Callithrix jacchus: one gene and its partner. The protein of the gene in region 1 purifies or fractionates together with the protein of each later gene. This does not show direct contact. Links are inferred from orthologs where the notes say so. Each region holds a gene or a part of one and is shown in the gene's direction. Other genes may lie near its edges. The genes, in order: ZC3HC1 and CUL1.

Evidence for each region.
Region 2: the proteins of ZC3HC1 (region 1) and CUL1 purify together in Homo sapiens (affinity purification with western blotting; 3 studies listed by BioGRID, with this or other methods). This does not show direct contact. The link is inferred for Callithrix jacchus from reciprocal best matches to the Homo sapiens genes ZC3HC1 and CUL1.

Annotation. Positions count from the first base shown.
Region 1 is NC_133512.1:117,183,338-117,187,157, forward strand, and holds part of ZC3HC1 (zinc finger C3HC-type protein 1), read left to right. Parts: intron 1-313; coding exon 314-557; intron 558-1,140; coding exon 1,141-1,353; intron 1,354-2,286; coding exon 2,287-2,493; intron 2,494-3,820. UniProt on the Homo sapiens protein: Required for proper positioning of a substantial amount of TPR at the nuclear basket (NB) through interaction with TPR.
Region 2 is NC_133512.1:98,959,218-98,963,037, reverse strand, and holds part of CUL1 (cullin-1), read left to right. Parts: intron 1-465; coding exon 466-629; intron 630-3,820. UniProt on the Homo sapiens protein: Core component of multiple cullin-RING-based SCF (SKP1-CUL1-F-box protein) E3 ubiquitin-protein ligase complexes, which mediate the ubiquitination of proteins involved in cell cycle progression, signal transduction and transcription.

The DNA of each region.
Region 1 (3,820 bases):
AAGGAATGTTTTTCATGTAAAGGGAAAAGGTTTAAGGAGGGACAGGAGAAATTTTTAAAACATGCCTGCAAAACAGTCTCACCATAGAGAGCACACTAAGAACCCCAGGTCCTTCTATGGGAAATACATGAGAGATGATGAAGCATGAAGCTGGGGTCCTGAGATTGGAACACAAAGGCTCTGACAGGACATGGTTCCCGTCCACTGGACTGTTCCAGAAATTGGATGAGATGAAACATACTCACAAGACATTACACTTAGTCATTTGGAAATATGACACTTTGAGAAAACTCTCTTTTTCATTTCTGTCTAGTTCCTCTTTGGAACCCATGCAGCTCTGCCTGATAACATGTTCGCAGTGTATGAGGAAGGTGGGGCTCTGGGGCTTCCAGCAGATTGAGTCGTCCATAGCTGATCTGGACACATCATTTGGCCTGACCAGCTCCCCTATCCCAGGGCTTGAGGGGCGGCCAGAGCGCTTCCCTCTGGTGCCTGAATCTCCTCGGAGGATGATGACCCGGAGCCAGGATGCCACTTTCTCCCCAGGCTCAGAGCAGGTATGCACTTAGCTTGTTTGGGGTGGACTTTTTTTTTTTAACTGTCTTCTGAAGTGAATGAATTGAACTGGGGTGGACTTTGAAACAACATTCTTGGCAAAAATGTTGTTGCTAGAAAGTTGGAAATTAATTTAGGGAGATAGGCTTCACTTTGCACTACACTGGTTACAATGCCACGTGGTGTTTCTGTTCACTAATGGAGAAGCTAAATTCAGCCAGATGTGGTGGCTCATGGTGTAATCCCAGCACTTTAGGAGGCTGAAGCAGGCGGACCACTTGAGGTCAGGAGTTTGAGACCACACTGGCCAGTATGGTGAAACCCCATCTCTATGAAAAATACAGAAATTAGCCAGGCATGATGTGGGGCCTGTAGTCCCAGCCCTTGGTAGACTGAGGCAGGAGAATCACTTAAACCTGGGAGGCAGAGGTTGCAGTGAGCAGAAATCACCCCGCTGCACTCCAGCCTTGGTGACAGAGCAAGACTCTGTCTCAAAAAAAAAAAAAAAAGATTAAATAAAGAAGTATCTCTGACCATGATCATTAATATCATTTTCGTACTTCCATTATCTCCCCTTTCCTTCAGGCTGAAAAGAGCCCTGGTCCCATTGTCTCTCGAACTCGGAGCTGGGACTCCTCCAGTCCTGTTGACCGTCCTGAGCCAGAGGCTGCTAGCCCCACCACCAGAACCCGCCCAGTGACCCGAAGCATGGGAACAGGAGACACCCCTGGCCTGGAGGTACCATCTAGCCCTCTTCGGAAGGCCAAGCGAGCTCGCCTCTGCTCCTCCAGCAGTTCGGTGAGTCCACCTCGCATCTAGCAGTGGCTGAACATAGACAGCATGTTGGGATTTCCCTGGGCAGCTTGGAGAAGCAGGCATGAGCCCTTCCATGGTCCAGTGCAAAAAGTAGACCATGTGACTAAGTTTAAAGTTGGGTGACCAAAGGGAAAAAATGTCAGTCATTTGCTCCTTTGGGGTAGCTTCTGGAGAAATAATAGATATCTCAGGCAAATGGAGCAGCAGTGTGATACGGGGACAAACCTGATAAGGCAGTGGTCTCCAACCTTTTTGGCACCAGGGACCGTTTTTGTGAAGACCATTTTTCCACGTACCGGAGTTTAGAGGATGGTTTGGGGATGATACAAGCACATTACATGTATTGTGTACTTTTTATGTAATGAAATAGTTATACAACTCACCATAATATAGAATCAGTGGAAACCCTGAGCTTGTTTTCCTGCAACTAGATGATCTCCTCTGGGGTTGATGGGAGACAGTGACAGATCATCAGGTGTCAGACTCTCATAAGGAGCCAGCAGCCTAGATCCCTCAAGTGTGCAATTCACAGTAGGGTTCCTGCTCCTATGAGAATCTAATGCCGCTGCTGATCTGACAGGAGGTGGAGCTTAGGCAGTAATAAAGGATGCGGAGTGGCTGTAAATACAGATGAAGCTTTCCTTGCCTGGCTGCTGCTCACCTCCTGCTGTATGGCCTGGTCCCCGTCCATGGCCTGGGGGTGGGGTATCCCCTATCCCTTGTGATAAGGTATAGTTTGTTTAACACGAAAGGAGTGAAAAAATAAGGAAAATATCTTGGCAGAGTTTAAAGGAGAGCATAAACACTTGAAGTATGGGTAGTTGTGAGATTCTGGATTTGATGACTAATAGCAGTGCCTCCCTGAACTTACATAGCATCTGCCCATGAATGCTATTTCTTTTTCTCCTTCCTCAGGACACATCTTCCCGAAGCTTCTTTGATCCCACCTCTCAGCATAGAGACTGGTGCCCTTGGGTGAATATCACACTTGACAAAGAAGGCAGGGAGAATGGTGGAACTGAACCAGATGCTAGCGCCCCAGCAGAGCCAGGCTGGAAGACAGTGCTGACCATCCTGTTGGCCCACAAACAGTCTAGCCAGCCAGCTGAAACAGACTCTGTGGTGAGATAAGCTATTACCTTGTGCGTGGACAGCCCTTGCTGTTTATGGGAGGAGGAGCAGAGGCTGGTCCTATAATTAGCACCCTGCCTGCCCTCAGCTTTCATATGTCAAGTTATTTCAGTTTTTTTGTTTGTTTGTTTGTGAGACGGAGTTTTGCTCTTACTGCCCAGGCTGGCATGCACTGACGTGATCTCTATCACTGCAACCTCTGCCTCCTGGGTTCAAGTGAGTCTCCCGCCTCAGCCTCCCAAGTAGCTGGGACTACAGGCACCACACCCAGCTAATTTTTTTTTTCCTTTTTTTTCTTTTTCCTACAAACTACACAAAGACGTTTTTGTTTTTTTGAGACGGAGTTTTGCTCTTTTGCCCAGGCTAGAGTACAGTGGCACAATCTCAGCTGACTACAACCTCCACCTTCTGGTTCCAAGCGATTCTCTTGCATTAGCCTCCTGACTAGCTGGGATTACAGGTGCCCGTCACCATGCCCAGCTAATTTTTGTATTTTTAGTAGAGATGGGGTTTCACCGTGTTGTCCAGGCTGTTCTCAAACTTCTGACCTCATGATCCACCGACCTCAGCCTCCTAAAGTGCTGGGATTACAGGCGTGAGCCACTGTGCCCGGCTAATAGGTCAAGTTAGACTCATTTTGCTTTCATCCTTGGGAATAGGCGTAGAACTGGTTTGTCTTTCTGCACTTTAGCATATGGCATTCCATCAAGTTCTGATAAATTCTTTTGTTCTCTTAAATAAAATGACTCCAAGTAGAAAAGGAGTACAGAAACAGAAATAGATGAATAGGCAGCTGCTCCAGCCTCATGTTGCAGACAGTTGCTTTTTCTTTCAGTTGCCATCACTTGCACCTGGCCAGTTAACTTAGCTGTTTGGAGCACTGGACTCTGTCACCAAGATGATGGCTTCATTCTGCACGCTGGCCACATTACTTTACTCTGTTCCACAGCCCAGACTGTGACTCTACTAGCCATTGCAGCCATGACTGCTGTGGGTTACAAATGTGGGTGTCGACTGAGAAGAAAAGTCAAGTGTTTGCTGTGTGTAAAGATTGGAAGTGATAGGCTGGGCAATATGGAACCCTAAACACTGGGTCTCTCCTTGGCTGGCTCACTCCCAGCTTTTCCTTGTAGCTGGTAACAATTGCTGACCTCTATAACTTTCAAGGACAAAGTAAAATAATGCTTGTCATCAGATATTTATGAGCAGCATTTGTAGATTCATGGTTTTCTAGGGTTACAGGATTCCACTGGAGGAAACTATAGTAATGCTAAAAGTCCAAAAGTATGTATTAGTACGCTTAGTAAATATACAGGTG
Region 2 (3,820 bases), about 18 Mb from region 1:
TTTTCTTTTCTGGTCTCAGTGAATTCACTGGATATGTTAGAGTGTCAATAATTGAGCTCAATGATAACCAGAAATCTATATCAGCTTGAAAAATTGAGATTGAGAAACTGATGAAGTAATACAATGTCTTAAAAACTTGGGTAGCATTGTATTTCTTTGCAAATTTAAAATTATTTTTATTGCTTTTGGAAGTATAAAAGTTCTCTAAAGGAACTTCATCATGATTTTGAAGCATACCTGGCCATGGGTCAGAATTACTTGCTTTTTATACATCTTGGATTTTTTTCCTTTTTTATTTTATTAAAATAGTGTATTTTAATACTAGTGAGTAAGAGTTACTTATGTCCTGCCATTTCACATTTACCTTTTAAACATATCTTAAACTGAATGCTACACCTAAGTATATTCTGTGAAATATAACCAAAAAAATAGGGTAATTGAAATATAGCTCATATTCGTTTCTAGTGGAATTGGGGCTGAATGAAGATGATGCATTTGCAAAGGGCCCTACGTTAACAGTGTATAAAGAATCCTTTGAATCTCAATTTTTGGCTGACACAGAGAGATTTTATACCAGAGAGAGTACTGAATTCTTGCAGCAGAACCCAGTTACTGAATATATGAAAAAGGTAAGCTTAAATATAGTACTTTAAGTAGACTTAAGTTAAAATCATTGCAACTCAAGTGAATTCTTTTTAGCACATAGAGCTTTCTTTACAAGTCATTTGTTGGGCATTGTTTTCCTAGAGTGTCTTTATCAGGTGCAAGTGCTTCTCCTAATTCTCCAGGAGAAATTGGTAATCATGACTAAGAGTTCTCATTGCTGTTCTAAAGATGTAGCCATAATAGCTATAGGACTTTTTTTTAACTGTTTCTCCTAGAATGTGGATTTATATAATGGACATCACAATCATGTCAATGAGAAAATTTTAAGAAACAAATGTTCTCAGATTTGCAAACTTGAAGTTTTTGCTTTTTTGCTTCTAAAATGCCCCTAAGAATCTATTACATAGCTTTCAGGATTATATAGAGGAGAGGTTCTTCTGCAAGTAGGATTTAAATTCTAATATGAGAGGGTATTCTCCCACTTCAGCCTCCAGAAGTAATGGGACTCAGCTAATTGTTTTTTTTGTTGTTGTTGTTGTGTTGTGGTTTTTTTTTTTTTTTTTGTAGATAGGATCTTGCTATGTTGCCCAGGCTGGTCTCAAACTCTTGGGCTCAAGTGATCCTCCTACCTCAGCCTCCCAGAGTGCTGGGATTACAGATGTGAGTCACCACGCCCAGCTGATAATCAAGATCTAGTGGAATTGCTCTTTGTTTCTCTTTCTTAGAAACATAGATGTCTGGATTTAGGCTCTAAGGAATGACCTAGGTCTGGAGTCAGAGTCAGCAAACTTATCCTGTAAAGGACCGGATAGGAAATACTTTAGGCTTTGTGAGCTATGTGATCTCTTTTGCAGCAGTTCAGCTCTGCCATTGCAGCACTAAAGCAGCCAGTGGGATATGTCCACAAATGAGTGTGGCTGGGTTCCAGTAAAACTTAATTTACAGAAAAAGGCAGGCAGCATTTGGCCTACAGGCTATAGTTTGCTGACCCTTGAGCTAGCTGTGGTAGGACAGCGGTCCCCAACCCTTTTGGCACCACAGACGGCAGGGGAGCGGGGTGTGGAGAAAAGGGGGATGGTTTTGGGAGGAAACTCTTCCACCTCAGATCAAAGGAGCATGCACACAGATCCCTCGCATGTGCAGCTCACAATAGGGTTCGAACTCCTATGAGAATCTAATGCTGCCCCTGATCTGATGGGAGGCAGAGCTTAGGTGTAATGCTCACTCATCTGCTGATCACCTCCTGTTGTGCGGCTTGGTTCCTAACAGGCCACAGACCCATACTGGCCCACAGCCCAGGGGTTGAGGACCCTTACACTAGGAGATCTCCAGGGAATCTGGATCTTTCCAAGCATGACACCTGCTTCCCCTTTATTCCCTGTTTACTTGGAGCATAAATGGACTGCGGAATCCCTTTTCCAAATGCTGAGATGGAAAGTCAATTAAAAGTAACAACTCTGCTCTAACCTCATAGAGAAAGTCATATCTGGCTTGTTTGTGGTGACCTGAATACATTTTCCTATGGGAGATAGTGGTTATAAATGGGCTTAGAAGTTGGAAGTTGAAAGTCCTTGACAAATTTCTGATATCTCAAAATCTAACAAAAATGGAACTATTCAGAGTATTATACTTGGAATATTAATAGTTCCTTGTGTATAATGCTGGGCCAAATTGACTTTTGTATGCTGATCTGGAACCTAACCAGCTCACCCAGAGTTTCAAACAACTGCCTAACAAATGAACTTTTGAAACATCGTCTGTTTTGAATGTTAGCATTGCCTGTTATTTCATTGTTTAATATGACAGTGCTGTTTGCCTAAACATACCTCTTTATTAAACTCTGCTATATATGGTGATTCTTTAGAAACTAGATGTCCCTAAAGACCTCTTATCTAAATGCACATCCACGACAGTGGTACCTATTCTTTTTGAACAGGGTTTATTAGAGAATTGTGGTCATCTCCTTTTGTCCACCGTGATGAATTAGCAGTGGGCTAGGGCAAGGAAACGAGTGTTTTAGGGCAGAGCTACACAAGCACTCCCAGAACAGGTAAATCTGTTTTTAAAACCAGGCCTGACACCAAAGACAGTTGAGGAGCAGGGATTTCCAGTGGCCTGGATGCTTTCAATCTAGCATGAGCCCTGTCTTCAAGGAAGCAGTGTGCTTCCTATATCCTGGTTCCCATAGAGGGGATTCATTTCTAGAGGAGTTAAAGGTTTGGCCCAAATCCACTTAGATCTCACCAAACATGACTTCCATCACATTCTGAAAATTGATAATGCAGAGTCTTTAAGCATAAAATTGGCATTTGACCATGTAATTCTGCTCTCATCCTATAGCCTTGCATCTCAGACTGAGCTATGAGTCCAGTTTTAAATCCCCACCCTGCCACTTACTAGGGGGATGACCTTAAGGCTTCTCTTCCTCAATTTCCCTATCTGCAAAATGAGAATAATAATAGGTAATAGTGAAGATTAAGTGGGCTTTAGTATTTAAAAAGTTTAACATGAGATATTTATTAGTAAAAAGGTGCTTAGAGTAGTGTGTGGCAAAGAGCAAGGCTGATATATTTGGTATTACAAATATGTGTCCCACAGAACCTCCAGTGTATGCCTGGGAGGATGTAAAACCACAGGATAAAGGGTGGCAAATCTTAGTAACTTAGGGAGCATTTATGTTTACATCAAAACAAACATTCTATTAGGAAGTAGAACAGTATTGAGATAAAACATGACCCTTGAAAATATTCTGCAAATTTTAGCCAGTTCAAATTCCCTGGGTCTGTGTTCACTTTTCTCTATTAGGAGTTTTAGTGGAAACATTTGAGAATGTTTGGCTTGTGTTTCCATGGATGGCTTTGAAGAGTGAACCACCTTAGTGTTTCTAAAATATTTTACTGTCTCATGTGATTGAGACTGATCTGAGCTACAGAAACTGTACGACTACTCTAGGTTTCTAATGTCATTTTTTTTTAACTTTAAAAATACACCATAGTTGATTAATTTGCTTGTCTTTTTTGGTTTTTATTTTCCTTTTGTTTTTATTGAGAACCAATCCTAGTTAAATTAGTAAAGACAGTCTTCAATTGCATGCTTTTATGTAGTCATTGGAATTTGACCTTGGTGTTCTAATACAACAGTCTGCCAAATACAGTGATGATCAGGAGCCTATTTGACTTGGAATCAATAGAGAACCTAGCTGGCTGTCCATTCT